Styela clava: one gene and its partner. The protein of the gene in region 2 interacts with the protein of the main gene of each other region in a pairwise test. Links are inferred from orthologs where the notes say so. Each region holds a gene or a part of one and is shown on either strand. Other genes may lie near its edges. The genes, in order: alpha-soluble NSF attachment protein-like and syntaxin-16-like.

Region 1 (17,158 bases), on a different chromosome or scaffold from region 2:
GTGAGCAGTTGCACTTGCGTATTGCATCTCCAATATAGAGCAATTTCTGTTTCCATTACACAAAGTTGGACACTTCAGGTTATTCGATACAAATTGCATTAAAAAGATTATCTTACCAGCATTGCAATTCGTGATATTCTTCCTGCGTCAACATTTCATAAAGGTTGGGAATGCTGTTTGAGTGTTAACTCCTAAACCTACGATTTGATGTTATTCGGAATTTTCGTTATTGGGTATAACAATTCCTAAACATTTAACTGTTAATCTCCTGGCCCTATTTGTTCCACAATCAATAAAATGTACCCAATTGAATAAAAATGACTTTTACTGAAATAATTAATTTCAGGAAACAGATCATAATATGATATGTAGAAATATGAATTCTCTTTCAAGATGGGTGGTTGGGAACAGATGACTGAGTAATCCATGTTTACCAGAGGAGTTGTCCACTCTTTGGAATCCTGTGTTTCCATGCTAATTTTCTTAACATTTATCATGGAAAATCGTTACCTGTCCGGCTGCCTAATAATATGACGACCTATGACCACTGGATGTGAATATATTGCAATAGCGAAATGCAGTAAAAAGAACCATCGTTGCTTCGACTAACAGTATGCCACTGGCCCTACTATCAAAAAGAGTGCTTTTATAGGCCTTGGTTAATGGAAAGGGAAAATAAAACCAACATATGTTATATTATAAACCCACCAGTACCTAAAATGGCTCAAATCAACCTGCAATATAAAAGAACAGATTTTGTAAATCAATACCATAACAAATAAAAATATATTGATCACAAACTTTGAGACCACCACCAATCACTAATCCACTTATATATATTGATTACATTTGGCCAGCAACTTTGAAAACAGATTAGATAATAAAAACAACAAGCCACTGGAATGTTTTTGATAGTTTTTATTGAATGCAAATCACATAAAATGAGACTTAAATCTAGAATGTTATAATATCACACACAGATGACCACCATGTTTCTATATTAGAATATAAGAGGACGCAGTAAAGTATGTACGAATTCCAACCTGCGTCATCTAAAGGGTTATCAAGGACACCGGGAACCACGGAAGTACACAAAAGTCCCAGTTTCATCTACTCATTCTGGGGGTAATATTGCACTTTATGCTGTATGTATTCTAACAACAGTCTCTAAAATATCAAACGTACTCCCAAGGGTCTAACCTGCGAACATTAGCATTGAACAAAGTCGCTGCAAAGAATTAGACAAATACGGTCGAAGGTCTCCAATATTGCTATATAGTATATACTATATAAATGAACAGAAGAACTATATCTTTATGCCCAAAATAGACAGACAACATGTCACCATATTAACACTATAGACTTAGTGGATAAACATTCATTCATGGCAAATTTACAACATTGCCTAGGACTGTATGTATCATCCTTTTTATGAAGATATGGATATCACATAGTCTACCGAGTTGAATTAAACTGTGTGAATTGTTTACCATTAAGGTGAAAAATTATTAAGCTTCTTACAACAATTCAGAGTCGCAATTGGATTTTCTTTACACATTATGTACGTTCATGCCCGGGGTGTTGAAATGGATAAAATCACTGCTTTGATAAAGTAAATAAAATCAATTACTTTTTAGATGTAAATAAGACAATAAGCAGGCTATGATCAGAAAAAAATAGCCATAGTCGAATTTGTATTATATATGATAGAAAAAATTCATGACTTTTTGTCCATTGTTCCCTTATTTTCGAGCAATCTAACAGTCAGATTATAATCAGGTTTTTCTCACTTAGTTTACACTGATATAACAATTTAAATCATTTTTTATAGGATTTATTACTGTGATTTTTATTAATAAAAACTGTATGAAATATGTATGAAGTTCATAATGAATGGCCATTTTCAAATATTTATGATTAAATATTTTCTAGGCGTAAGAGTAATCTTAAATTAATGTGAAGCCCTTCTTTGAGGAAAAATCATTAGGGCAAGGTTCCGGTGATCGTAATAAATTTTTATCCTGATGAGTAAAATAGTCTACAACAACTGATGAAGAAATCTTTATGCTTGGTAGCTCATTATAGAAGTGAAATTTTCGGGCCCTGAATTATTTAGCAAGAAACCCTCTTAGTTAGAATATTTTACAATGATATATTATTAATGAGAAAGATTCTTGTTTTGACTGTAAACTTGTTATAATATTATTATTTATATATAATAGACTAAGTATTAACAAATACTTGTACCAGAATTCATCTCAAATACTGTTTAAAGTCAAACAAAGCTATGTAAGATCTTCATCATCATTCCCTATTGTCTTTTTGATTCGTAGAAGGATTGTGGTCAGCCACTGGTCAATGCGAGATATCGAATCATATTTTGCAACTGCTTCCGCAAATGCATCAGAATTTTGGTTGTCATGTGTCTCGATTAAACTCTTCAACAATTGGCATTCTCTACTGTCAGAAAATGCTGGAAAGAGACCTTCGTATTTCTCCAATGATTGCCTTTAAGAAGAAATTATAAAATTAATAAGCCTCACAGAACAAAATAGTAATTAACATAAATAAAAACTAAAATGGTGCGGACTATGTAGTTAGGCCTACCGATAGTGACGCATGTAATTTACCCTAAACCACGAACCCTTGTTTCAAGGCAAGGCAGGCAATTTAAATTGGAACCTCATGAATAAAATAGATGAATCTAATTAGATTGCAACGAAACAGGGATTACATTTCTGATAGTTTGCTTCCAATATTTAGCAATTTTCTCCCTAACACTAATTTAGGTTGCTGAGAATAGTCTATTGCCTTTTGGACATTTAGTATCATCTTTATCACAATTATAATAAGTGGGTAATGCTAAAATCTCATATACATAGACACGAAGATCGTGAATCAGTGGAGGAAGGACTGAGAGCACTGTATTTGCCGAAAACATGGGTAGAACTGTAGAAGAACGATATGAAGGTGGACTAGTAATACAGAACAAAATGTCTTCTTTTCAGATAAAATATCAAGCCTCATAAAACCTGTGAGAAAATTTGAAAAAAAAGAATTGAAGTAATAGCTTTCTTTCGACTACTTCCATCTATAACTATTAAAAACTTGAACTGAATTTGAATCAAATTGTAAAAATGGTGTAAATTTATAGTCTTTGCAAATGCATTAGATCTGATCATTATTCTAAATTTTTTTTCTGTCAAAACAACTTTTACCCACATTACCTGATAGCAGTTGAAGCCAAGACAAGAAAAATTAGGAATATTACAGTAATCAGAGGCATGAGTTACACACATTTATATATTTATGCTGATATTATGAAATCTCATACTATATCACCAAATACATAGATACAGTAGTAAAGTAGAATTACAGATTGAAATTGATTGATCCATTAGCTGGAGTCCTGGAGAGAAAAGAATTTTTTCCCCACAAGTCCACTTCCATGGTTAATAAACCAGTATGTGAAAGTCTCAACACTTTGATGATAGCAAAATATACTTTTCTGTTCTGTTGTTGCTCGAGACTTATCTTCTGGTAAACCCTCACAAGGAATTTCATTCTTCATTCACAATATTTTTTAAAAGACCCAGTTGAATAAATACTTTGTAAAATGATTCATATTCAAGGATACCCAGGTGATTTGAAGTATGCATCCCACACTAAATTATTTATAGTCAGCTGACTTTTTCAGCTTTCACAGTTCTCTGACTCACAATAACAATTGTCAGGAAATGAGTGATTATCTCATAATCATAATTGACGTAAATATGATTAACAAAAAAACAATGGTCTGATTATTTAAGATTGAAAGTTGAAACTTTTATTCCCTGATAATGAGTTGATAACGCTGTTACTTTTATATCTGATATTTAGTACGAAAATATCACCATTTCATATGATTAAGCTTTATCTATTTCCTTTGAATAAAATTAATAAAATATGGCTGATTTTGAACATCAAATTCCAACATCTGCTGCACCATAGTACAAACCACTTTATACAAGTCAACATTATAGAAACAGACGATAAGGTAGTCACCTACTTCACTGATACCCGATTTGTAAATGGCCAGACACGCTTAATAAATTATGAACTGTCATCGTGGGGATTTGGAACGGTATGGAATGAGTCCGTAGTCAAGGTAGTGTCACCTTTGGCACTGCTGTAATGCCCCAGCCCCCAACTTAATAGTTTTAATCTCGATTGTAAATACGACGTCTAGAATTCTCAGTGCTTTCATTCAACTGTGAATAATCATGAATATGGTGATTTTTCTCTATAAATAAAATTTTTGATAATCCTACCTAAAGGCATTCAGTAAGTTGGATAAGGCAATTTAACAGATTTTTCGGAGACTGAATCCGTACAGATCATCCCGACTCAGGTGCTTGTGAGTGAGTTCATATTTCCTCAAAGTTAATGAGATTTAGACTCAATTTATTAAGTCAATAAATCAATAGTAACATGTAAATCACTTACATTGCATCGATTGTTCCACCCAAACAAAAATGGCAGAGTGCTGATTTGAAGAAGTACTCTTTCACCGAATATTTTAACAACGGACTATTCATTGATGACATTCCAACACGCTCATATAATTCTATGGCTTTTGTATATTGCTCAAGCTGAGCTGCATAGGCCGCCACCTTCAACCAGCACTTATTTGCACTACTCGTCGAATCTTCGCCCTTATAAAAATCTGCAGCCTATACAAACAGAAATTTTGGTTAATATTGTGGTGGAAGTACTATACAGTGAGCAGGCCTGCCCAACCTAAAAGAAAACATTTTATGCTGCCTGCAAGGTTGTTTGAAAATACTTTCTTGAATCTTCAAAAATGTATATGATCAGTGGTGTACAATGTTAAGTTAATTCTAGATCAATTCTAATAAATGCTCAGATTACAAATTCGAATAACATCCAACTTCCCACTTTATTTGAACTCACAATTTACTTTCACACCTGGCATATAATGTTGGTGCTATCATTTTTATTACCCCATCAAATCAAATCTGTAACCTAATACAAGCCATATCGGAACCCATTAGTCGAAATCTCTATGTCAATGGCTTTAAATTATACATGAAGTTTTAAAAAACACATTTACCAGTCATATCAATATTATACAGCCTCCAATTTTCACATGTTATTTATTATCAGTGATAGTTTTTGTGAATAACATTGTGCTGTATTCTGAAATAACATCAAACGAATTGTAAAATCAGAATGGTCATTTTACACAACAAAATAATAAAATGTATAAGAAGAATATGTGAAAAAATAGACCTACTCGCTCATAATGAGAAATGGCTTCTTCAAGTTTTGAAGTCTCGTTTTCATAAATTTCCGCAACGGATATATGATGTTTTGCAGCAACTGTAAATCTCCCCATATCAGTATAAATATCAATAGCCTGTATTAAACATTATTTTTATGTTTTCATAAAATCATTTGTATATTTATTTTATGTGGCGATAGTCAATTTGTAAATAAAAGTTAGAATAGAAACATTATACACAAATTTATGCATAGTTTTGCATGAATGCAAGACATTGGCTATCATAGTTTAATTAATTATATTTCGATTTATTAACCGTAATAAGGAATGGAAATGGCCGAGCCAATGCACAAACCTTCTATAATTACTGGAGGCAATGGAAATGAGCAAAATTATAAATTCCCATTCTTCAAAATTCAAACTATTCGTATCCTATTACCTGTTACTAGAATAACAGGATCTTTGATCAAATCAAATTTCTTTGCAAAAAAACTAGATAACACAAATCATTTTTTTGTGATTCTAATGCGAAAATAAAGTTTTTACTAAACTAACCAAAAACGTACAATCCTACTAAGCAATAATATGTTCATCTCACCCTTGTCAAACATTTGATAGCCGCATCTGCATCTGATTTTTTATAACAATTCCCAGCATCAACAAAATTGGAAGCCGACTCGTGTTTATTCTGTAGTGATTGTTGAATATCTGCAGACTTACAGAATGCATTTCCTGCTTCGTTCCATTTTTTCAACATCTGGAGCAAAGAACAAACGAAAAATTATATATAACGACGATAACCTATGATCTGAAATTACTATACGGTAAAAAGTCATTAATGCATGAAATGCATATTCAAATTGAATTTATAGATTTATAAGATATGTTATAATTTTATGCTACATTGGAAAGACTACAGTTTTATCGGCAAATTAAGAAAATTGAGCTGAGCTGAGATGCACGTACCCAATAACATAAGATACACAAATTTTGATATTACTTATAGTATTTTCTGATGCTATTTCGGTATGCGATCTCAGCATCAAATAACTACTTTGGTATGTGATCTCACTAGCCACACATGATCTCAATCGAATATTAAAGTGGGATCAATTGTGGTGACACTTTCGTATGCGTTCAACGAATTTCATAATTTTTCATTGAGTTCAATTCCTGAACCTAACCATGTCACCGTTAATTTAGGGTCAGATAATAACATAATACTAAATTACTGAGATCGCATATAAAGTGACACCTATTTTCTGCTGTGTATTATTTGGAAATAGTTTGTGACAGGATGAAGATCTCCAAGATATCAGGTATACTGAAAGTGGATCGAAGATCAAAAAAAATTACTGCATGTTTCAAAGTATTCTCCTTAAAGCAACAGATTAAATTGATCAATTTAATTCTTGTATTATTATGATGAGTAAAATTCCACATAGAAATCACACACACAGATTTGTTTTCACAAGCAGTATCAAGTCAAAACTAAACATGCATTGTGAAACCATGTGAGGCTATAGAAGCTATCTATAAATACTGCACCAATAGGACACCAAACATGATTGAAAGGTATGAAGGAGGGACATCAACCAATATTGTCAAAACCTTCCTGAGCTGCCGTCATGCCAGATGGCCTCGTTTCATAGACAAATCAAGTAAAAGTTTTATTGAACAAAATGTCAAGATATCTTGGAATCGGAGAACTGTGGCATACGGTACTGCATACTGTTACAAAAATTATTGACTTTAAAAACTAATATCAGAATAATGATAGTAGAAGAAATGATGTACAGTAGCCTACAAGCTGAGATGTAAAGATATCATACAAATTCACCTTAAACATATTTGCTGCCCGAACAAATTTTTCACATGCTTCTTCTTGTTTAGATCCAGATCCTAGTAATTTAGAGAAAAATCCCTTTGATGAGTTGAGGCTTTTCTCAGCCTCAGCCATCAACTGGCAGGCCTCTTGTTCTTTATCCATAGTTCGATATTAATGTTTGTAACAAATCTAACTTATACTATCAGACTATAATACAGATATACAAATATAATGTTACGAACTTACAGTACCAGTAATCAGCTTGATGATATCTTTTGAGGAATATTTTTCTATCCACATTATATAACTCTTGTTGACTAATTCCATCAAGTGCAGTTTTAAGTATTCTGTGGCGTCTGCAGCTGCCGCAAAACCAAGGCGGTATTTCCAGACCATGTACCCTATATTTTTCTTTTTTACTGAGTAGGCTAATTGGATTTTATTTTCTCGCTTTTTTTACTCCCGATCTTATCATGTTTCAGTCTTGATGATTGTATGTCAGTGTGTGCGTGCCTTAATTAGTTTTAATACTTTTGGGTACCGGTAAGCGAACACCAGACTAGGTACCATACTAAAGTACCGTACTTATTTTATCGATAACTTCCCACCTACAGAACTAGGCTAAAATCTGTACGCTTTAAACCTTACTTGAGGTTTCGTTTGCTTTCCCGATTCTATAATCAGTTTTATTTATTTTGTTTTTATCAATTATTTTAATTGTCTATTGCTGATTATGGAGTCGAAATAAACTTATAACCGTATACGTTACTGTTATACTTATACACCACAGTATCAGTATACACGGACTACGGTAGACTACCCCTGTAGTATACAGAGATACCGGTACCTGTAACGTTACGGTATATATCGTAATTCTGTAACTGTTCATTTTATTTATCAGGTAAGTTACCGGTACCGGTAGTTCTGTAGTTGAACAAGCTATTTCAATATACAAAGTTCTGTTCTGAATCTGAATTATAGAATAAAAAGAATTATAGAAATTCGGAACTGAAAGAACCGCAGCTCTGAAATAAATACTGCAGGTTTATTTTGATCGAGCTCGTCCTTTTTATAATGATGACTGAGTCACTTTTGGTCCCTCTAGTGTTACTTATTTCGAGCACTCCTAACGCTGCCATGACACTATAGATCAGTGTTCTCCAACCTTTTTTTTCGTGGTATACCTTTTACAATTTTACGAGAACTTTGTATACCTTACAATTACCAATGTTTATTTAAAGCTAAAATGAGCAATAAATGTTAGGAACAGATTGTATAAAAACTAAAATCGAAGTGGCGGGGCGAGTCATTATAAATGCTTCTTTTAGTTTTTACTGACAGACGCAATTAATTTAGTGTAGTTTCAGTGGCTTCTTTGTTCTTGCATAGTTTCGGCAATTCGTTCATAACCATGGTATTTATCGTTGAAACGTCCTCAAACTCCCACCCAGACTCTTTCAAATATTGACTTAACAGGGGAAAGTCAATGAAGTTTCTCGAAGAAGCATTATTTTTCCAGAGTTGAATTTTCATCTTCAGAGCATTGATTTTGCTAGTCGATCGAAATATATCACCTCCCTTCCCTTGAAGACTGACGTTCACTTGATTCAAACGATCAAAAATCGACGCCATGTACGCTAATTTTGCAATCCAATATATATTACGAAACCTGTTGGCTTTTTGGTCTCCTCGTTCAGTGTAATACGCCCCTAATTGTTCTCGAAGTTCAAACACACGAGAAAGAACTTTTCCTCGGGACAGCCACCGTACTTCTGAATGTAAAAGAAGTTTTTTGGAAGTGGCGGCTGTTTCCTCGCATAGTTTCGAGAAAAGTCTCGTTTGTTTTGAACTTTTCTTGATCGTATTCACAAAATATACGACCTCCCGTAGAACATCGTGTAATTCATTTTCTTTACCGGCGCGGCGGTGTGGCTCAACGGGCTAAGCGTTAGGAATACGCTCGCCACCGCACCTCTAATTACTCTGCGTGGGTTCGCAGGTTCGAATCCCATGCAGGGATGGTTATGTGCGAGAGGATTGCTGGACTCCTCGCCGTCGTTGGGTGGTTCACGTAACCGCTGGTCGGTTACGGCTTCCTCCACCACCAAGTCCATGCTTCCGAAAACAAACAATACAGTAAAAACTAATCCCATACCCGACTTGGAATGGTAACCGGACGAGAGGCCGTGGTTCGCCATATGGATAAGCCGTCTTATCGGCTTTCCTCTCCCCCGGGATAAATATGTAAATCCTATCCTACCACTAGCGTCACCTGCATTCAGTTCAAGTTTCTTTGTTACTAATGCCTCGCGGTGGAGAATACAATGAATTCCTATGCATTCTGGAGACTTTCGCTTAATTCTCTCGATCAAACCTTTCTGTGAGCCTCGCATAGCTGCTGCTCCATCTGTTGTAACCGATTTGCACTTTGACCAATCTAACCCTTCTTCTTCAAAGAACTCGTTTATTTTATTGAAAATTGCTTCAGCAGTTGCCTTTTCTTCAACTGGTTGACAAAATAGATAATGTTCAACTATCCTGTTAGATTTTATGTCCGGAAATCTACAGAACACCATGAGCTGAGACTCACTGCTTATATCAGTGCTTTCATCCAACTGAATGCCAAAGGAGGAGGCTTCTAGTAACTTCTGAATTAGTTGTTCTTTTAAATCTGCGGATATAACGGCACATCGTCGCCATACAGTAGTGTCAGAAACAGCAATTTTTTTGACCTTGTCAACTGCTTTTGTTCCACCATGAATCAAGTCAGCCACAATTTCTAAACAAGGTAGCACTACACGTTCAAGTTCTGTGTACGGGCGTTTAACTTTCATCATGTGATGTTATCGCCATCTTGGTGCACATACTTCTTTCAGGAGGTCCCTATTTTCATGAGACCATATATATGCGCTACCGAAATGCTAAGGCCGTACGATACTCATGCTAACGTTGTACGATACTCATGCTAAAGCGCCAGCTACCGAAATGAAAAGTATTGTCTTCAGTTACAAGCAGAATCTCACACCAGGCAGGTAAGCACACTCTAAATATAGCTACGGGCCGTCGACTGAAAAAATCTCAACTTCAGAGTGAAAAATAAGAATGAGAATTAGATTGTGCCAAAACGGAAGAACAGCAATTACATGCTTAAAACGAATTAAAGACAATCACTACAAACTTACTCTCCTGACCATGCAAATTTTTCTGAAGACCTCATTCTCTCCTTGTCTGATTTCAAAAATGAAAACAATTCACTACAGTGCATATCTTTGAAATTATATTGGGGAGTCAACATGCCTTTTATAGTCGCAAATTGTTTCTCTCTTTAGTCCACTGACTTTGCATCAGTGAAAAGACTCTCTCTACAATATTGGCATTGTGGGATGTAATAGCAAAGGAAAACTGTTCAATCCTTAAAATTTCGGAGTGGCATGTGATGTTCGTAGACTGATCGAAATATTTGCACCATTTCTCATGCGTTGGCAGTTTAATAAATTCTTCGTCTTGTAGGTAACTTTCCACAAACTGCTTCAAGTTACAGAATTGGTCAAATCATTTATCATCGTCCACATCAACCCGTTTACTAATCAGATTTTCCAGGCAAGGCTTTACATCAGGGGTCGGCAACCTTTTGTCGCTCGCGGGCCAAAACCAAAGGTTGCAAGTCATTGGCGGGCCTCATATTTTTAGAATGTTGAAAACCGAACGGATAGCCGATGAATCACACTTTTTCACACAGATTAGAAGTTAAATTTAGAGCAGTGCACGAAGACTGACCATTGGAATATTTTCTGCACCATTAAACCATTTGCGCTAAGCATCAACTTTTCTGCGTTTTGTTGCCATTTGAGTAATTATAATTAAATTATAGGGTCATTAAACGTGCAATTGTGAATTATATACTTGTTAGGTTATAGCATAAATGATTGTTAGATGAATATGATATTACCGTATATTGCTATTTCGTAGATTGTCTCTGACTTGCAAGTTACCCGTTCACCCTTCAGCTTCAACGCCCACGTGAATGAAGGAAACTTTAGAAAACTCTGTTTGATTTTATTCTCAGATTTCCACGATACACAGAATATAAATCTTATAACATTTATCCACACTAGCTTTGAATGGTTTACAATTTACATCGTCTTCCCTCTTTTCCATCTCCTTATCGAAAGATATCGGAGTCATATTTATACGTTGATCATAAATCCAATTAAATGCTGTAAACGTGAGCTCGTGATTCACGTTATAAACAGAAATTCCTATTATCTCAACAAGGGTAATTATGTACATCGTACGGATGGGAACTTAGATATAATTATTTCAATCAGTGCCAAAGGTCTTGAGAATATAGATTTTAATTTGATAATGACTGGGTGGAACTTGTTATGTTCTTAAACCTGGTGTAATTTGATTCCTACGAAAGTCTTTGTTCGAATTTTGAGAGAAATTAACTTTGTTTTCATATTTTTAACATGAAATGGGGTACATTTGGGGGTAAGTTGCTATAAGGTTATAACATAATTTAGCCTACGCGTGTCGCAAAATTAATTCTGTTATGTAAAGAATATAATCGTTAAAACAGCTGTTTTGTTACTATAATCCAGTGAAGCGTCGCGGGCCGGATTATATTGCTCCGCGGACCGGATCCGGCCTGCGGGCCGTAGGTTGCCAACCCCTGCTTTACATCCTTCCAACTTGGTATCTCGTTCAAGGTTATCCATTTGAAATAAGTAAACTCTTCCATTGGTTTTATCCATTTGCACAAGTACTAAAAGCATTTGCAAAGTTTGCAACTTTAACACCATTGATAAGGAAAACGCTCTGTTATATTACAATTTCATACAACCTCGTAGTAAAAATATGCGCACGGTACGAAATAACAATGTTCTGTATTAGCGGTGTGCACATTACGATTGCAGATGCAGTAAAATTCCGGACATTTGAGCATTTTTTTAAATTCCTCCCGGACGCAAAATTTAACCCTAAATTCCGGACATGTCCGGAATTTTCCGGACGGTATGGCAACCCTATTGTATACCCTACTTATGGTCTGGTATACACTTAGGTATACAGTATACCCGGTTGAAGAGCACTGCTATAGATGACACATGGTTTCTCTGTTAGTCCCAACGACTGACATACCGGTTAGTCCTTGGCATTGAGTTGTATATACACCTCAGTGGCCCTTAGTCGTTGGTTAGGGCAACCCCGTGCAACTCCGGAAATTTGGTCCCGATGTTGGATTCGCCGCCACGCACGACTTGGTTCTGACAGATTATTGCTTCGAAAATCATCGAGCGACTAGGCCGCGAGCCGAGGACATTTATCTTTCAGTTTCGTAGCGCACATCAGGTAACTACCTGAAAATGATTTTAAAATGTTCCTTAGAAATTTAGTAACAAATATTGCCTTGTTCCCACTTACAAAAGTTGCACGTTTTACAGAAAAGACGCTTTTACTACAATAAATATGTGTTACCATCTGTCCTATTTTCTCTGCTTTTCCGGTATCATGGGCCAATGAACGCAGACTTCTGCACGACGTAACAGTCAAGTTAGTCAGCTGTAGGTGGATCCCCAGTGGTCGGATGAATATCAGATGTACTCAACTGCTCGCTTTTGCGTTGAGTAGCCTTTCCATAGTTTTTTTCAGTTACCGGTAATATTAGTCCAGTTATTCTAAGGAGGTGTTGAAAAGTATAGGTAAGATATTAAACACTTGTATATCCTTGCCATAAATAGCAATTTTAGTTGAGCACTAGCTCATAAGACGTTGTTAAATAGGTACCGGTACGGTGCGGTAACTCCAAGGAAGGCTAGACCTAGAATAATATGTCACAAACAACGATATTTTCTGGCTTGCATGAAATGTTTATGATTAATTTAATGACTCTTCTTGACTATTCAGCAGACTTATACTACTATATAGGCCACAGCATATTTGGAAATAGAAATGAATGGCTGTTTCTGTAATGCACGGTTGTGTGAAAGAGAAGAAATTAATCAATTTTACTAATGTCGGTTAGTCTAAATCTAAATTCATAGAGTCGACAAGAACCTGGGAAGCAATCATAAGTTATGCCGGAGTGGAAAGAAAGGTACGGTAGCATTGGAAATGATTGAGAGGTGAGAAATGAAGTTGTAGACAAACAGTTGATGTTTCAAAATATAGTCTATAGCCTAGTCCATACTCATACTGCTGTACTGTCATGGGACATTTCAGACTGTGATATATCAAAATTTAGTGTAGATATAGTCTAGTAATGGTATGCAAACACTGCTGGACTGTAGAACATGCAATGAGCATATATACGCTCATTTAGTACATCAGATAAAATGCATTACGGTATGTATTCAAGGTATTAGTTAGTATTTAGGGGTATTTTTAAAATCATGCTGCTCCAAATATTATTTTCTTCCTTATTTTAGATACTGTACTACAAAAGAAAACGGCAATGTTCCACCAATCCGACCTAACGCAGGCTCTGATCCCCGCTGCTATCAGTGCTATAAAATGGATTAAACAAGAAGTCTTGAAGCTTAAAGGTATATGAGAATCATAATAGTTGCCAACAGCTTAGATGGGCTATTCATATTGAAATACTTTAGCACTTTTCTGCAATTGGAACTGCCCATCAAATTCATGTTGGAGACTTCATTGAGATTTTCAATTCTTTTTTTTCCCTCGACTATGAAGATCTTTTGAGGTTAACGAGGTATTAATAAATAAAGCTGAGGAATTTGAAGAGGATATGAAGAATGTAAATGATACCAGGGCACGTCTATTTAACACTGTCAAACATAAGGATTATACTCTCCACCCAACAATGATTCACTGAAGAAGCATGTGGCCCTCAAATCAGTTCTTGAGTTGTCAAACTGCAAAGAAAAATAGTCAAAATAATTTATGAAAGTGTGCCAAAATCAACTTAAATTGCACAGATTTTTGTTTTTGTATTGACTGCAGAAATCACAGTACACCTATAGAGGAAAAGTCGATTTTTGAGATAGTGGATTTCGAAAACAATTCAGAAGAAAGTGAATTAGATATTACAGTTGATTTAATAAGTATCATACATTTGTTTTTTTTTCGGACATTTGTTAGTGTCGTAGTCCTGTTTCTAGAAATATTATTGCCTTTGTTCAAATACATAACCACATAAACTAAAAAAAGATTAATTGTAAATTGTAATATTTCTGTTCACTATGTTATGTACATATTGTACATTCATTTAATTTTCTTGACTTTTGCGGTAAATTTCTAAGTGAGAAATAACTGATTTATTTGTGTTTTCGTGCTCACGATGTTAATTTGTGACTTCATTGCTTAAAAATAAATACGTTTGATACTTGATAGCTTCTATAAAATGGATGTAGCTTTTTATGCTGTTCTTGTTGTAAACTGCTTGTGGTTATTACATAAAATTTATTCTAAAATGTGAATCAGCGTTGTTGGTGTCGCTGCTTTCGAGGTCACTCCCGACTCCTGTCACACAATTAAAGTATTTTTTGTTGTTGGTTACATGTATGCCATATTTTTCGTAATCTACCTAATAAATTATGATTGACTGAGGAAGTCCGATTTTGGTCAGGCAAAACATTACAGGAATACATTTGTGTTAGTGTGCTGTAGTGCTCTCGAATTGTATAGTTCTTATGAATGCGTTGTAAACTTATGGTTATTGAATTTCCGGGAACCTCTTATATTCAATTTCGCACCAGGATTGTGGAACAAGCTGTAATGCGTTCATTATGTTCGTTTTCACACAAAACTGAAGAATTTATTTAGTTACCAGATGTGCGCTACGAAACTCATTTTCTGGGCGTTTTCATGGTTTCGTCTCACGGCCCATATCCGTGGTAAGGATCTACAAGTGTTTAATAATTTACTTATACATTTTTCAACAACGTCTTAGCATAACTTAACTAATAATAACTAAACAGGGCTATGGAAAGCCTGCCCAACTCAGCGCAAGGTCGAGCAGAAATAACTGATATTCATCCGCTCGCTAACAGCTGGTTTAATTCAATTGTTACGTCATGCAGAAGTCATTGTTCAGTGCCGAAAATGTAGAGAATATAGGACAGATCGTAGCACATATTTCTTGTAGTAAAAGCGTCTTTTCCGTAAAACGTGCAACTTTTGGAAGTGGGAACAAGGCAATATTTGTTACTGAATTTTTAAGGAACATTTTAAAATCATTTTCAGGTAGTTACCTGATGTGCGCTACGAAACTCACTTTCTAGGCGTTTTTCAGGGCCTCGGCTCGCGGCCTAGACGTTTTTCATTTTTTTGTGTTCTGACGGTGCTGTCTCGCGTCAAGATCAAGGGAGTGACTTATAAATATTCAAGTTTATTTTGCATATGGTATATTACACAATATACTTGACTATAGAACAGATAGAATGCAGATTACGAAACAAAATAGAGGAACAATCAATTGAGTGTGGAGGCCCTGGGACCTGAGGACTGGTCCAGCACTCGAAAGCACATTGACAGTAAGATTCTAAATTCCCTTTAAAGCTTGTTCATCATAAAAAAAGAGCAAGTTGTAAATGTTCTTATAGGTACCCAATACAGTAATGATTTGTCAAGAAATGTAAATTTTGATAAAAGATATCCTATGTATATTTTCAGGAAGAAAAGGATCATAAAAAAATTGCAGTATGAGAATTCATGCTGTGTGATCAAAGCGGTAAGCAAGAATATAGATTGACTAATGGTGATGCTTTATCTTAAAAATCAGAATTAGTTTACACCATATCAATGGAAGTTTTTGGTGGGGCAACTAAAACTGTCAGCAAAAAAAATGTGGTGAGCGATGTCTGTATGGAAAACATAAATTAAACACACATAATTTAACTTCAATTAATTAGTGTTTTATGATGGAGTACTACTGATCTTGATAATTCTTTCCCAGACTCATTCTGTCATTGTATACGAAGTCACCAGCTGCATATTACAACATAAGAGGTATTTTACTCTTGCCATGATAATCCATTTTGCTTGATTTCAGGCTGGTACTAATAACTTTTTTACATAAATTGGATACCTATTATTGGTATTATCTGAACATGGCTTCAACATATATATTTATAACTTTAAATGTGCCAAAATATTTTGAATTATTTTAACGAGTCGAGTGTTTTTAAATTATTGATTAGTGATTGATAGCAATAACTTTTTTGCTACTGCAAAATCCACCACATTTATTGAACGCAATAATATTTCTCCCGAAATCGTTACATTTTATTAATTCCAATAATTTGTTTTGTGGAGTATTCACATTTTTGTTTCAAATAATACTTTGTGCAAGTGGCTGTTATACTTATATATAAACACATACATGCTTAGATGGAGTACGAGGCAATTTATTTCAAAATACCGTAACTAAAACATAAATTTTTGCAGACGGCTCGAAACTCGCTTTTGAAGAATGATTTGCTGTCACCAGATGGGTTTTTGGCATGGAAACACATCTAGAGGGAAATTATGAAGATAATGTCTGTCAAATATTAAGCACAGGTATAGCACAAAGAATTGTTTTGGATATTAATTCATTTGTATTTTCTTGTTAGATCTATCTCCTATTGAGCATTTAAATACTTGGATCGTGATTAATATTTCTAAAATTACCAACAGTATTCAGGTCAATAATACCAGATGAAGCGGGGAAATTTTTCTTTGTAGGTTTTCCCTGCATCTGTTGCTAGGATTTCGGAAATATCTGAATTTGAAGTAACTGCCAAGTTTTGCAAACTGCAGAATACCTCATTTGACATATGCAACAGCACTACTGACGTGGCTTCCATCAAAAACTGAAATCTACTCCCTCTGAAACATCTGGAAACGAAAGCCTGCAGTGGATCAGCCAAAATTTCATAACTTATTTTACAAACTGGAAGTCTACAACAGGTGATTAGCTCAAGGATTTTTTAACAAAATAAATGCTATACAGCTGTATGCAACACATTTTGTACTCGTATTTAAAAAACAACAACATTTCATTGCTTCTCCAGCGTATGAATCTTCAGCTATGACCGTAG
Region 2 (17,124 bases):
GGAACATATTCTAGAGAGAAAATAACTATTGTGCAGAGCGTCAGATTACTGAAACTTTTTGGTACAATCATACACAAGTTGAATAGTTAAATAAATTTTCCTCATTTTCGCAGTAGTAACTAGGGAATTTATGAGTTCTTTCTTTTTATGGCACCCTGTAGTTACATAAAGGCTGATGAGACACTAAATACCGTAATATGATTGTCAGCCAAGCAGAAAATCACAATTAGTTAAGTAGATGTGATTACTTAATAAAGCACTTGAGTATGGAAATGACTGTGTTGTTTACTAATTAACATTATTTCATAATTGTCAGTGTACAATCGTTATTACACCCATAGGAATTCAGAGCATTTTGGAATGTATAGCAAAATGATGGCAAAATCCCACTAAACCATTTCTAAATAAAAATTTTTAATATGAAAATTGAAATATCGAATATATTCTAATGGGATAATTTTCAATGGGGAAATTATTACAAATCGAGATTGATTTTTATAATGCAGTAAAATTTAAACTGTTCCAACTGGTTTTCTACAGTAATCAGAATTCAGAAGTGAAATAAGTGTTATTGGTCTGAACATCTGATGTAAATTTCATAGAGTTGAATTTTCAAAATTTAAACATATTTTTTTATTTTTTTCAATATTTTAGTATTAACAAACTTATTATTTCAAGAATATGACTGAATATTTCCATGAAAAATGGGATATTTCATTAAATATTGAATAACATACAAATGCCATTTAACTTTATAGAATAGAGTCTCCATTTGCTTGCAAAATATACAGTTTTCTAACATTCGGAATATGGAAATAATAATTTTACCAAATGTTGGTCATTAACATTAATTAAACGTAAACTCATTTGCATAGCAAAAGTTCCAAAATAAAAATGATAGTTTGTATTATAATACAAACTCATGAGGCATGTAATACTGTTTCAAACCAATACTTAACAAATTTTGTTTCAAATGAAATTTTTTGACATGATATGCTCTGTATACAAATACACAATAATTATTCTGATATTATTTTAACATGAATGAGAGTTCTAATACTACAATATAAAGTTTAATATCTGAAACACTATCATTTCAAAATTACCAAATTTCCTCAATCACAAACTTAGCATACACGGTATTCTCAAATTAGCTATTCGACTATTTCTAACCCATGCAACAACTACGACAACAAACAATGTCTGATATTGATTTCTGTCCTCTGTGCTAACAACAAACCAGTCTAAATTTCCACTGCTACTTACTCATCACTAAAATGGGACACACCACAAAGCACTTCTATCTATAAATCATCATTGATCTTTTATAATAGGAATGAAACAAATGTACCTCTTCAGATATTAGCACTCATACAAGAGCTGGTGTGAAGACTATTGAAAGTACTCAAACTGTGTTTAGTTCATATCAAGTACTAAGCGTCAGGTCACTGATTTTTGATATAGAAATTTAATGATATTATACACAACAAAAATGCTATCCGACCTTATATCTGTCAGGTCAGATCCCTTCTAAACAATCATGCAGAAGTAGGCTATGCGACAAAAATACGGACAAAATGACGAAGAAAATAAGGTTTTTATATTAGTGAAAGATATTAGAATAGAAATTACTCAAAATGTATTAAAACTTGTGCTGTGAGCATGTGATACAAAGCAATGGCATTTTTTATAGAACTGGAAACATATAAATAATAATAAAGACAAAAAATAATAAAATGCAAACTTTGACTTTATTGATTTGTTACAAATATATATGAGGAATAGAAACCTACCTTTGGTTGTAAGAAATGGATCAAATAATTCCAAATCTCTATGAGACAATTGTGATTTTGTTGTCTGATCTGACTGCAGCAAATCTAAAATGGTTATTGAATTAGTATGGCCTCACCAGTTGATCAAAATAGAGGGATTAAAAGCAACCGATTCTGCTGATTTCTAATATTGAAAAATCAATAGTATGGAATAATAGGAGAAATATAACAAGGGATTATTTATACATGCATGCAAATAAACATATCTTAGAAATTTCACTTCACTTCTGATAGTGTATGATTGTATCCGAACGTCTCAGTAATCTAAAAGGTTTGCACAAAAGTTATGTTCTCTGGTAGTTCCAAATGACCAGAATTTTATTTTTGTGGGTCACCCTCACCATGTATATAATACTTTCCATAATTTAAAATATCGAATACTTAATTAAAGTAAAACATTCATTGAAAATATGTATATACAGTTTTGAAAACACAAGTTAAGTGAAGAAAATTTTTTGTTCCATTTAAAATAACATTACTCTAGTTAGATGACCAAAGATGGCTAAATTATAACAAAAAATTGTTAAAAAAAAGCTGTGAATTATATTTGTTAGATATTATCATCTACCGCAATTCACATATAAAGTGATATCAGTATCAACTTTTATATTATAATAATATTATGTGATATATTATATATATTATAATGGCACATTATATCTAATGTATAAGTGGCCATATGCAGTGATTCCAAATAATTGTACATATTAAAGGCATAATAGAATAATATTGGACAATACCTATTGTCTGATACGATTTAAAAGTTTCCAGCCTAAGGAAAATATCAAAATAACCTATACTTGAAGCATAAGACTTAGCATTAGAATGTTACACTTGGGTTCAAATCCCGTGTCCCCCAGCTCATCCAATATGGTTGGCAATGCTGAATTGGAAAGCTACTGGACTCCGCACATATTACTAGATATTAGTGCCTCATTCAGAGCAAACGGCATAGAAAACTTCATATAAAAAATTGTTAGTTATGAATAATTGGCCATCACAAAATACCGAGCACATACTTCAACAATGTAATCACCAACCTTGCAATTACTTAACATAAGTCAATAGACTGATAGTACCTCCACAGTAAGATACCTTTAGGCACATATTATGCATCTTCAGGATGGCGAGGCTTTTAATATAAAATAGACAACAATAGGAAAAGCATAAAGCAATAAAATTGTCATCATACTGTCACTGTCATCCACTTCTTTCTTTTCTTTACTTGGTTTCAATGGAGATTGTTTGAGATAACGAATTTCAGAAGTTGAGTCGATGGGCTGAAGGTACTACAAAAAAAATGGTATTGTGTTTCATTTTTGAATACACAATTTGATAGGATTTTTTTATTTATCCCAGGGGAGAGGGAATCCAATAAGGCATCTTATTCATATGGCGAACCACTCGTCTGGTTACCAGTCCATGTCAAGTATGACAATCATCAACCAGTTGATTTAGATGCATGAACCTGATGATGGAGAAGGCAATAGCCACCCACTGGTTATATGAACCACCCTACAACAATAAAGAGTCCAGCAATCCGCTCGCACTTCATCATCAATTGATTCTAACTTAGTGCATAGATACCTGGAAAAACTCTTTAAAAGCAACTGATCTGCATAAAGGTGGATGCTGGGTTGCAAAATTCAACACATCCTCTGCACTTTTCTGTCTTTCTCGGACAACACTCTCTTCAAAGCGACCTGTAGTTCAAATGTGTACAAACTTAAAATCTGGATTGCAACAATTACAATTAGTATAATAATTATAAGAATCTCAGGGATGAGTGCAAGTGGTACAGTTACAGTGCTACAGTACAGTTTAACCTAGTGTTTCCCAATCAATGAGTACCGATAATTCTTTTGTTTTGTGATTTTACCAACAACTGCTTATTCAGCATTTTGTATACTTTTTTAAACTATGTCAAGCCGGAGTGGGAGCTGCGAGTAACACCTTCAAAAAACAAACAAATGAGGAAAGACCCATAGTGAGGGAGAACTAAAGAGACCCAAAATAGGCAAAGAGGATTGGATTTTGAAAAAAATCGTCTCTCAAATGAACTATATTTATAAATGAATGCTAAACTCACCAAACAACTTCGGTTTTGCAAACTCTGGTGGTTTTCCATTAAGAAAAAGTTTTTTGTGCAATAAAACGAGACATTTATACAGATCTTTGAAGTCGCTGTATCGTTTCCAAACAAAACTCTGAAAATTAGAAACAATTATTTCAATTTACATCACCAATGAAATTTCATTATATGACAAACTATGAAAAGGGGGCAATTTGCTCAAAATATATTTGCTAATAGAAACTTGACTTACTATTATAAAGAAACAATGCATTTGCAAACATCTATGCAAAAAGATCCTCAAATTATTTGTGTTGAAGTGTTTACTTTACTTTACCATTTTACTCGAGTTCAAATTCCATGCCCATCACCTCACCCAGGGTGTAACAAATTGGGTAGAAAATGCCAACCCCCGAATCATTCTGGTTCTTCCTAACAGAAGTAGCTTCTTTTAAAGGGACTTATTTGGACTGAAGGGCATATGAATATGTCGTGTAAAAATCCCAAGTCTAAAAGCTGTTTTTTTAAAAAACGATTAAATGTATTCAACCTAATTCTGACATCTCCACTTTTGATAGCAAAACCATAGTTAGAGCACCTTTAAGTTAAAACTATTTCTATAGAAGAATTTCTCATCACGAATTGCTTTCAACACTTTGCAGTCCAACACTAAAACTCACACCTGGTGCCCAGATAGCACAACATAACGATGGAAAAAATGCATAAAGAAAACATACACACCTCTTTAAAACAGTCGAACGAAGTAGGATCAGGCACCTGCAAAATTAAATCTATATAAATCTCTGAAGCACAGGACATTGTCGCTGTTTACAATTTGACATAAAAAGATAGGTCAGTCACAGGATACTATAGTTTAACAATTACACCAGTTTTCTATTCAGTGACAATACAAAGCTCACATAAACATGAAGTTTGATAAAGGATTTGCGATGGGTCACCAGTTCAACAAAATTAATTCAAACATTGGTTTCCTATTGGTAAATGGGAAAAGTATAACATGAAGGCGATGTAATGCCTATACACAAAGCATTCAAAAACTTTTGTGATCAAAATTTTTGAAACTGTTCTAAGTAAGATTGAGATTAGATTGTTGTAAGAGAATTTGCAATGATCTTCTCGCTATATGCAATTTGTGTTTTTGCTATTTCTATCGTGTGCATATATGACAGAGTCACAAGGTTTTTGTTCAACGAGTTAGTATTGAAGTAAACAAATATAGCATGATCTTTATCAGAAAAAATCAAGTACAGGTACCCAAAAACAGAACCTTGAAACTCCTGTTTATTTATGTCTGTGCTGAAGAGTTTCAATAATCCAGGACACTTTGCACAAGAGTTATGTTGTCTCTAGAATATGTCCCAAATGACAGAAGTATTGTTGTTTTGGGGGCCAATTTATGCGTTTACGATCAATAAACCATATATTTTCGAACATAATTTACCAAATAGTGAATACTCATCGCCTACAATTCTTGAACAGGCTTTATGCTATTTTTGTTCATTGAAATCTTACCCTACGAATGACTTTATAAACTGTGAAACCGTCTGGATGATGTCGAGCTTCTTTCACAAAATATTGTGGTATCACCTCCTTCTTTCTCTTATCAGAATAAATCCCACCACGACTTGCCATTCGCCACTGCTACAGGTGTCTTCCACACATATTGCTGCCCGTTATTTTATAATCCCAATCCTACAGATTCATGTCATTATATTTACTAAAACCACTGACAATGAGTCTAAATGATGAAAATACACATATAAAATAACTTTGTGCCCAAAATATGGGAAAACGAAGGACAGAAAATAAGAATTACACGATGGAAAATATCCTCATACCCAATTTTTCAAGTTGGCAAAAAGAAAAAAAGACAAATATCAAGACTCATTTTTCGACAGATCTTATACATTTTCTATGCATACAAATGGGACTTGGGACTTCAGTCAGTTTTCAGAATCCAAGCTACTATAGTACTATTCCACCTTGTAATTTTCATGTTCTATTCATCTCTTTTGGTATTTACCAATACCCATATTCAATGGCTTCAAATATATAACACATGGCATAACACTCATTGTTTGGACGAGTATGCAATTTCTCATTTTGTTGTAGTTGAATTATGTCTGACCTTGGTCCGACAAAACGTTACAAAAAATATATTTACTGTATGTTAGTGTGCAGCGACCAGCAAAGCTCTTGAATTACTTAGGAACCATTAAAAATTTAATTTTTCAAGTATAAAAATAAGACACGACACAAACATGAAGTAGAACTAAAGCAATGTAAATTATACCTATTGACTAGCAGGTCAGAGTTAAACAATAAATTAGTAACCTTGAAGCAAAAATAATTTTAAACTAAAGCCCATTTTGCCCACCAAAGATGAGTGAACTAATAAGCATTATACTAATGACACAAATAAATCAAAACTTCAGTGCAATTCTGACTCTGTTCCCAGTGGGAATCATTGAAGCAGGACTGACCAGAATTTTCTCAACCTGAAGTAAAAGTACAAATTCTGCTGTTTTCAAATTTTCTATTCTAGGGTTAGGTTGAGGTGAAGTCATAATGAAGTTAAATAGACCTCCTCAAGACATCACGGCTCTACAACTTTAAATTAATATAACACAACTGATAAAGTGGGTAAAATTAGCAAGAAATATAGTTATTTAAAAAATAAATGTACAATAATATTTAGAACTAAGTTGTAAATTTTACTGGAATTCCTGGCACATAAAAAAAACTAGCAGTGCATTAACAATGTTAATATAAAACAAAAAACTATAGTCAGGTCATACAGTGTTATTTAGCCAGACGTTTGATCGGTTGATGAAATTCCGCGTATTATCATGGTAAATAAGATTTCTTGCCATTTTAGGTTTCTGCTTTCTGATCCAATGATCCATATCCACCGAATAAAATGTATAGAATATGCCAAACTGGAATGATTTTAGTACATACAAACGCGATAGACCCTTGTCTCTAGGTGGATCTGCATAAGTGAATATAAAACCATAGAAAGTCTGTATAATCATTATAAACAGCTCTATTTCCGTACAGAAAATCATAACATCAGTACATAACCCATGGTGGCAGTTTCATGTTTATTCTTGATATTATGTTACCACTTGTTCATGATTATTTAGGTTCAGAGCAATGCACGATTTGAAGAATTTCCTGGCCCTGAAATTCACTTTTTACTATGTTTTAAAAGCACAGCAGCTGACATGCTATCAGCCAGTAGTGATACAGACCAAATAAGCATGTGCAAATACAAACAATATGGGAGACACGCTACAATCTGAATCTGTAGAGTCATTTGAAAAAATGAAAAGGACATCACATTTTTATGTGATTTTTAAGAATTCCGCTCCAAACAAGGCTCCACATAAGCAGAGGCTGATTTACACTTCAGTAATGCTTACCCGATTTATTTCAACCAGGGTGAAGTGAAGCCGAGTTAAATCATTTTATAATTACAAAATAGTATTCAGATTTTAGGATCAGTGGGCAAATGAAATTTGATGAAAATGAGTGATAAAAGACCAACACCATGGATGAATAATACCAGCATTTAATATGGTATGATAAGTACTACCTTATGATACATCAAGTGCAGAGTTAGAATAACTCACACACACACACATCTATCAAAGTCATTGCACATTTGCTTACATCACACAACTAGTTAACTAAATAGTAGAATACATCACATATTTAAAATAGATATGAATAAAAAATCAACCCTTTTTTATAATTAAGATAATTAGCATTATTGCCGTTATAATTGATAGTACAAAGATAACATAAAGTTTTTTGTTTTTCTTTTGGTATTTCTCCGCTTTTTGTAATTGTTTTACTCCTTCGTCCGTTTTCATAACAGAGTTTTCAACATTATAATCAATTCTGTCAAGAACAGTTCCTTGCTCCACTACAATGTTACTCAAATCTCTAAATATTTCCGCCAAATCTGAGATACTTTGAACGACCTTTTGAATTTCTTCTTCACGTTCTTCAATGATACGACTATTCGTTTCAACAAGAGCAGATTGCGTTGTAGAAAACCCTCGTTCAAATGTTTCATCATCGATATCCATTTCACTGTGTTCGACCATAATCGCATTATCAGAGTCAAAAAAATGTCTCGACCTATCTTCTCTTGCTTTCAACTTTTTCAAATAAGAAGATTGACTGTGTCGAAAATCATTTGATACATTTTGTAATGAAGAAGCCATAGCCGAAACAACATTTTTTGACATCAATTTCTCATGCTTGGAAGCTTTTTTTGAAAGGTTAGACAGAATTTTAACGCTCTGATTGCAGCTGTAAAATAAATGTGTTATTTCTTGAGTCAAGATTTCAATAGTTTGTTCTTCTTCAACATCATCATCTAACGTTGGACGATTAAGATGTTTGTGATGGTGAGCTGATAATTCTTCCATTTTTAATTTGATTTGGCTGATTCCTTCTTTGATTTCTTCGACTGTCGATAACCATCTTGGTGGAAGACTTTTCAACTGCATTGAATTTTGTCCTTTTCGATTAGATATCAAAGAGACTTCGTCATTTTCATCTGCATCGTACTCAACATCTTGTCGTTGCCAAAACATATGACGATTTTGTAGCGCATTATTGCGCATGAGTATAAATGCGTCAGTGAGAGATCTCGTCAACATTATGATATGTAGACTACTAGGCTATATTACGGTAATTAATATAAAAATATGATAAATTAAGAGTAAAAATCGTTCAGACTGTTTGATGCTTTCACCTATTCGCTCTTAAGTTAGCTGATGGTGTTTTTTATTTCATATTTTTGTAAGAAAAGCACTGTTATGATACACATACCACAGTCATGCATTCCATCCTATCAATTCTAGAAACGTCCTTTTAATCGTATTTTATTTAGTTACACTTTACAGCATAGCGTTTGACTGGAGGTTATCATTTCATATATCATTTTCATCAAAAACAGCCATACAAGAATGCAATCAGCAAGCCCTCAAGTCTATGCATGCCACTTTCTCACATACATCTGTACATAGTTCATTTTCTCGTGATTTACATTTGTTATGTGATAAAATTTCACTGAACAATCAATATCTTCTGTAATCACCACATAAGAACCGCAGCCACAATTTTTTTTGTTAATTTTTTAATTCTAGTTTGTATAAAGTGTTTCCATGATCTTCTTTTGATCAGTGTCTCACATTTTAAAATTGATTCAAAAGGTACCGTATTGCCCGATTTTGCATGTGTCTTTATTTTATTGTGTTCTTTTGACTGTTTTTGGTGGACGGGCACGTAGACTACTTGTACGCTTTTAACTTTTTTATTAAGTTATACCCGTCCTCCAGGTCCTCTGCATTTTGTTTGTCCGTTTGTTGTAGTTTTGTTTCTTTCAGAGTGACCAAAATAAGATTGATTGATATTAACATTCATACTTCTGTATTTAGTGTCGAGAAATTGAAATAAGCATATGAACATTTTACGTTGTGTAAATAAAAATACTCAGCATTGAAAATAAACAACAGAAATCATTTATTAAAAGCCAACTTAAAATCGTCCCCATCAGACTGCTTCTGGCCTGTCGTACAACCGTACTGCATACTCTTGTTACCAATACCGGTACCACAACAACCTAACTTAAAAATCATAATAAAACAAATTCCGAAATACCTTCACAAGTCAAATAGAAAATATCGTCAAGTCAGCTGCTTGCACTTAACAGGTCACAAGCGTAGATGAACGGCGACGATTACCCAGGCAGTGGCAGGAGTCTGAAAGCAGCTACATCTCCCACATCGCGCAATGAATAGGCACACATAGAAATTGGCTAGTTTGGGTGAGCGAGCAAAACGTCCATATACAGAGCACATAATGTTATAGTAATATCAACGACTAACATACCGAGTAATTTATATACAAAATAGGTTATTACAGTGTTAAGTTTAGGAGCGACACACGCCCACTCACCCACCAGCTAAATTTTAGTGTGTTTAGTGTTTATCTTTTGAATAGGGATCATTATTTTATCCTGGCGGAGAAGGATATCCCGCGAGACGGCTTAATCAGGGACATTATGTAATGGCTCTGGCTTAATCATAAGGCGTACCACGGTCTCTCGCCCGGTTACCAGTCAACGTTGACCAGTTGTTTACAAATGCGCGGACTCATTTTATGCAAAGTGGATCGTTTAATGAGCAAAAGCTCTCTGTAGTTGCATGCCGCGTGATTTTTCATATTACATACATTGTTAGACCAGGGGTTCTCAAACTTTTGGTGTTACGGAGCCCCTGAAGAGGATGACTATTATTCACGGAGCCCCACAATAAATTTTAAAATTGTTACTTACCAATTAGGCAATTAATATTCCTTAGTTGGTTAAAATTATTTTACTCAATTTCAATGACTAACCTTTTAATAGGGTTAATACCAGCCATGAATAAATCTAAATTTCACAGATAAATTATATATATTAAGGCTGTAAATTTGACACTGAACAAACATATTAATAAATTCGGGGTCGAACCTCCCTTCTGATATTTTTGAAGACTGAAAAATCGCTAATAACGTGCGCGATTGCATCTTGATAAAATCGCCGATTATTTTCGTCGGTTTGATATGTTTTTTAGTCCGTAAACATTTGCACGTCGGTGTTTATTCTCCTTCAATCACAAATTTTCATCGGCATATGCATAAATTGTTCCACGAGGAAGACGATAATTGCTTTTTGTTCTGGTGTGGAATTATGAGTTCAGTGCGGTATCTAGTCGTTGGTTCAGTGTGAAAAACAAGTTAGTATATTATATATCATCGGCGACGATATGCTAAGAATAATTAATAAAGGGGTGTATACGCAACCCAAATTTCTTGAATGAAAAGCGGCATTATAAAATATTAAAACTAAAACTTAAAACAGATAACACCATAAGTTTTGTTTTAGCGGACTCGTGACAAATGGACATTTTTCCGACCTTTGACACCGGAAAAATTCTTCCTATACTTTACCATTGCAGAATTTTCGGGGCTAACTTAAGAGTGCTTTTGCGAGTTGGCGACTGTAAAATGAGGTATGTGTTTCAAATTATCATTATGATTCATCGCATACAACAATCTGTTTTTTTAAAAGTACCGGTAAATTTTTTTAGCCTAGTCTATCATAGCTATTTCTACAGGTGACCGACCATACATTTGAACCCACGTACATTTGAACCCATGTGTATATCCACGGGTTTAATCTATATGTGGGTGCTAAAACCCATGGGTTAGGGTTAGTATGGGTTCAACTATCCGAAAAACAAAAAAAATTTCATAGGTGCAATAGCATACAGGTGCAATTGTCATGGGTTCAAATGTACGTGGGTTCAAATGCAATGGAACCATTTCTACACTAATTTTTGGTGACCGTACATTTGAACCCACGTACATTTGAACCCATGCGTATATCCACGGGTTCAACCTATATGCCGGTGCTAAAACCCATGGGTTAGGGTAGTATGGGTTTAACTATTCGTGAAACAAAAAAAATTTCATTGGTGCAATAGCATACAGGTGCAATTGTCATGGGTTCAAATGTACGTGGGTTCAAATGTAATGGAACCCTAATTTTTTATTACTGCAATTAAAGTAAAACCCCTAAGAAGACAGATTGAATTACCTGATTTATATTTGAGCTTCCGAAACACAACTGAAAACTAACGAATAGAGTTCAAGAACGCGAAAACGAGGTAATGTTTACGACCACGCTTGAAAATCTGTCAGAGTGAGAAATGTGTCTGAGCGGATGCGAAAAGGGAGCATTGTTACGTCACTTTTTGCATCTTCCAGATTGGCCAATGTCACGAAGTAAACAAGGAAGTCGATGCTCGGGGAAAGGTCTATTGAAAAAGCTTTTTAAGACAATGTTAATAACAAAATTTGGTGTTATTTTAGGTTTTCTTTGGAAATTATACGGTATTAACAGAAATCGAAACATAGTTAATTGGGCACCGACTTAGCCGCATGCGACTTTTTCTCGATATGTGACGATATATAAGATAATTAATGTAAAGTATTTCAATCAATTTTTTATTGCAATAAAATAAATTTTAATCATCCGTATTTTGTGATTTTTCAAACGGTGATATATATCTTTGAAAGAATCTGAGTGACAGACATGCGATAGGGAGTCAGCGTTATAGGAACGACTCAAATTTGTCGAGTTCGCTAAATTGCTGTAATCTGCCATACAATCAGTCATGATTATGCTTTACATTACTTCTAATATCTTACGACAACAGCGTCATCCAGGTTATGCGGCAACTTTGATTCTCATTCCATGTCCGCGGATGCCGCGGTGATTCTGAGCAGTGATGATTTTATGTTGTCGTAAGTCGACGCAATCGCAGGTTACATTGAACACAATTAAGCCAAAAAACACGGCATTTTAAACATGCCCCCATCGGTCAGGGATTGCGCAATTGTGAGTTGTACTCATGGAGGTTTTAACGCCGACCTTGAGATTTTATCTTGCTTAAAAATAATCTTCAGTGCTGAAAGATCAAATCCAATTTGACGAATCCCAAGATCGTAAAAATACGATTTCCATCTATTTATAATTGGTACTTGGCAGTTGAGAACGTTTTTTATGTTATTTTAGAATAGTAATCTTTCATTTTATTAGTAATCGTAATATAGACGTAAAAACGAGTAGCGATGAACACAATTAAATTATCGTGCTCGCGTCGGCTATAGATTGAATATTTTACGCAACAGAAAACTCGTTATCTGCTGAAAAAGTCTTTTTTAACGAGTGGCCTAATCGCGAAGAATGTTGCGCGAGAATTTCCGATTCCAATTTTGAACACCCACCACCTCTCTTTTAAAATCCTGGCTCGCTCCTGCTTGTAGATAATGTCATATTTGAATTACCGCTTTGCGATATTTCGACGCTACTGTTGTCACATTTTATTAATGCCGTTATTGCGTCTTTGGACAGTAGCCCGCGGAGCATTAGGTTTCTCTCACGGAGCCCTGGGGCTTCGTACGGAGCACTTTGAGAGCTTTGTACGACCTCACTTGAAAAACGTTTTGTTTAGTTTTATTGCTTTATCTGACAGATTTCTTATACACAGCATTGGTCAGGAGCCTCGGTGACCGAACCGGTCTTGTTTACTGACCCTCAAAACTTCAATGTTTTATAGCGTCGACATTATTTTTTTTTTTTTTTTTATTAATAAAAACATCACTTTTTATCCACACGATATAACACATAAACACAATTGCTCTTTAAAAAAATGAGTTCATGATAACTTTCCACTTCCTAATGTGGTTCGACAGTTTACATTTTCTAGTTGCAATCATTTTTTCACAGTAAAAATTGATCAAATTGAGGCCTCTCATTACGTAGTTTACATTTATAGATATAATATCTTGCACTCAATAAAACACAGTTTATACCTTGGTTTTGCTCTACCCCCATTAAAATTTCTCTATATGTCAGATTAGGATTTAAACCATATTCAACAGTTAGCCATGCATTAACTATTTCCCATAATTGTTGCACAAATTCACAGAAATAAAATAAATGTAACACGGTTTCAACACTCCTTTCACAAAATGTACATTTCGGACTTGATGTCTTATTTATCCTAAATAATAGGTCATTTGTAGGTACTGCTCGCAAAGCAAATTTAACATGGAAAGATCGAAGTCTCGATTCAATAGTGCAATAATTGACATTATTTGCGAAATTAAATCTTTCTTGCGAATTTCATTGCGTTACTTGTAATCAATGAACGAGAAATTAGTACGGTAATGTTCTATATTAATCTATTTCCATAGTTTTTGCATGATATACTTTGGCGCTTAAGGAGTCCAAAATCTTCAGTGATCTACCTAGTTTCTTTTTACTGCAAATATAATCCGGTCTTCTGCTCATCCCAGGATACCATATAATTTTATTATTTTAATTTACATTGGAAAATCCATGACATGGTAAAATGTGGTGCATACCATATATGTACACACCCTTTAAACTTGACCATTCCCGCGTTTTATAGTATGTGGTATCATAACTCAATGGTGTTGTACATTCATCCAAATTCTTAATTTTTTTTTATTACTATATTCATATGCAGTGTGTTTCATGTTGTGTTGTGTCTCTATTTATAGATGTTGTTTTGTCTAACAAACTCCTTTGTACAAACAGTTTTGTACACTCCACACCCACCCACCCTCCTTGCACAACTGCCTGTATAAAGGACCATATTGTACATATTTGATTTACCCTATTATAATTTATATATATCAAAAGGGGTGTATGCCGCACATTTGTGTTTTAGGCCAATATGGTCTTGTGCATACATCCGGTCTTCAGTATTTATAATTACTTACTCTTTTATATTGCTTTTACGAGACGAATAAACATACATACATACATGCTCTTTTCGGATTTTAAATGTATCCCATTGCAACCAGGGAAACATTCACACTACGCTCAATGCTGCTTGTTAAATAATGACGATGTTGCTATTTGTAAAATTGTACTGCATACCCAATGACCCAAATTAACATCATCATTGTCCCTTGTCTTGCATTGCTAAATAAACCATGAAATTATTAAGCGTTGGCTAAGAACGTGCAAGATGACATTTCATTTAAGACTTCTTGAATCACCTGTGGTGGTTCACCTCATTTGGATTTCCATCCTCTGTGCGTGTAACTAACAAATAAACTCTCTCTCTCTCTCTATTATATTGATTTTATACTATGGCGGAGTCAGCTATTGATAATGACTAATGACCATCTATTTGAGAAATGCTTTTAATGAGAAAGTGTTAGTGGGTTATCGTCCTTATCGAAGAAAGAAATTCTATATAACAGATGCATATTATTTTACAACAATTTACTAACTAACAAAATTTCTTAAATCAAAGCACCAAATCAAATTTGTGTCAATGTTTCCCAACATGTGTTTGAATGCAAAAATACAAAGAGACTATCAAAAGAGGCTTGGATTCGATATGGCCCATAAAAAGTGAAAAAAAAGAAGTAAAATAAATATGTGAATGTGAAAATGATAACCACCCCTTGGAAATAACACAAAAGTTGAGATAACTCCCAATATCAACAAAAATGCCTAATTTGTGAGGCTGAAATAAAGAAAAAACAGAATAGCAATGATCATAAACAATAAACTTTTTAGGGCGTGATTTACCTAATAAAACTTTTTAAAACCGAAAATATAAGACGACTAGACGTTTTTCATCAAAATTTAGGATTTCGAAGAATAATCATCAAAACGTTCACAGAGTCTATGATGACTCAACAGCGTTAATTTCATTGTGTTAACAGACTTTTGGAAATCAGAATCTTTACTTATAAGAAAATTGTTGTCATTAACAAGCTGCAATGTAGCTGCAAATAGTCTACAAATGTACCATGAATTTGGCGATTCAATAGCATCTTCAAATAATTTAGTATCTTGTGGCTTTTCAAATTTTTTCAGCATCATTCCTCCATACTTATGGATGTCAAATTCCGGTCTTGAATTTTGTTCTGCAAGACGTGGAGTAATAGATTCATCCCATAACTTTACTCTTTGTGACAACGCAGTTTCTTCTTTGAAACGCCTAGCAGCAGAATAGAACATTTCAACATGGTGGCGAACGAGGTCTTCATAAGAAGTGGGACTGCTTACAGTTTCATGTGCAGTATGATTCCCCTTGCCTTGATTATCTACCACATCACCAATAAGGTCATCTAGGTCAGGTGAAAAATGATCCGAATGTATTGTCGAGTCATGATTCATTGGTTCAAGTTGTTCTTCTTCGCCAAACACCGCATCAGGGCCTACATCTTTTCCAGGCATTCCAAGTGAATGGTCAACATCACTTGTCATAGCTAATAGTTTTATATTTTTCCAAAGTAAAGCTCTTTCTTTAGTTTCTGCAGCTATGAATTTCTCAAGACATTTGTCATGATACTTAATGTCTCTCCTTTTCTTGTAACCTTTGTTCATTATGAAAAGTGATATTTCTTCAACTTTATCCACAGTCGGGCTGTTAATCTTTCTTTTTCTAGTGGTTTTAGATTGGCGAATAGAAGCTGGAATACAATGGGACCTGATTTTTTCATATTTTTTGACCGCAAAGCAAGGTATTCTACAATGCTCATGTGGATCAAGGATGGTGGGAAAAACTGGGGTTTCATGTATGGGTACAGGCTTGGCAAGAAACCTTTCTCTTAACTGCATTCTTTCTATAACAGTTTTTTCTTGTTCTAAATTTTCAACGAATGGAGGAGCATCATCCATGTCATCAGCAGCAGCTCCTGCATCCATGGACTCGTCCATTCCACCAAAATTATCCATTTCTTCTCGGACAGAATTTGTCTCCACAGGTTCTTCAGACCGAGAAAAAATGTTCATCGGAGCAATTTCTAATTCTTCTAATGATGGAACAATAATTTCATCCAAAAACCCACCTGAATCTCTATCAAGAACACTCATTCTTTTTTCAAATGGGATAAATCGATTCTCCCAAAAATCATTTGTGTAACAAACGGAGTCATTCTTGTTTTCAGACAATATCAATCTTCCTCTTTCATCATTATCATTTTCAAGCATTGCTGTAGGGGTTATAGGAATAGGTGTAATTGGGTCATAATTCGAAGTGAATTCTCTTTTCGAAGTTATTGCAACATCATTCAGATTTAGCAATTTTTCTTCATCATCGTCAAAATTGGGATCAATAGTTTTATCACTAGAAGAATTGTTGGGATTTTCATCGGGAACCTCTTTCTGTCTGTTTGTGATCATTTCTAGCGTCTGTTTTACAAGAACATATAAGTATTCAACTTTTTTACTCCATACACAGGCTGTACCTTGAATGAGCAAGGATGCTTCCGCAAAATTAAGCACAGTTTTTCCATTGTCAAATTCAAAAGTCATTTTTTCTAATTCTTCCATATATTCTTCCAAAACATGTGTTAAATCTATTTCCCAATTCTTAGTAATATCCTTTATTGGCTGTAGCAAGAAGCCATACTTTTTCTGAAGATCTTCTGATAACACCATATTTACGTTTAGGTTCCTCTAATTATCTTATGAGGAAACAATGATTGCAACTTGATTAAACAGAAATATACCATGATAAAAAAATACAGTGAAAAAGAACCATCACTCAGCTGTGATTAGTAAAGGTTGCAGAAATTGCT

What was found.
Region 1: the proteins of syntaxin-16-like (region 2) and alpha-soluble NSF attachment protein-like interact in a two-hybrid assay, tested with the Drosophila melanogaster proteins (2 studies listed by BioGRID). The link is inferred for Styela clava from reciprocal best matches to the Drosophila melanogaster genes Syx16 and alphaSnap.

The regions. Positions count from the first base shown.
Region 1 is NC_135261.1:11,682,407-11,699,564, reverse strand, and holds alpha-soluble NSF attachment protein-like, read right to left. Parts: upstream 7,320-17,158; 5' UTR 7,275-7,319; coding exon 7,125-7,274; intron 6,042-7,124; coding exon 5,883-6,041; intron 5,420-5,882; coding exon 5,297-5,419; intron 4,713-5,296; coding exon 4,486-4,712; intron 2,509-4,485; coding exon 2,286-2,508; 3' UTR 904-2,285; downstream 1-903. Other genes in the region: zinc finger BED domain-containing protein 5-like, read right to left, coding at 8,460-8,884, 9,373-9,946. UniProt on the Drosophila melanogaster protein: Required for vesicular transport between the endoplasmic reticulum and the Golgi apparatus. Also between the endosome and phagosome.
Region 2 is NC_135251.1:18,712,126-18,729,249, forward strand, and holds syntaxin-16-like, read right to left. Parts: upstream 8,671-17,124; 5' UTR 8,601-8,670; coding exon 7,665-8,600; 3' UTR 5,662-7,664; downstream 1-5,661. Other genes in the region: ribosomal protein S6 kinase delta-1-like, read right to left, coding at 1,794-1,877, 3,025-3,121, 3,420-3,535, 3,922-4,039, 4,645-4,680, 5,437-5,556; condensin-2 complex subunit H2-like, read right to left, coding at 15,182-16,984.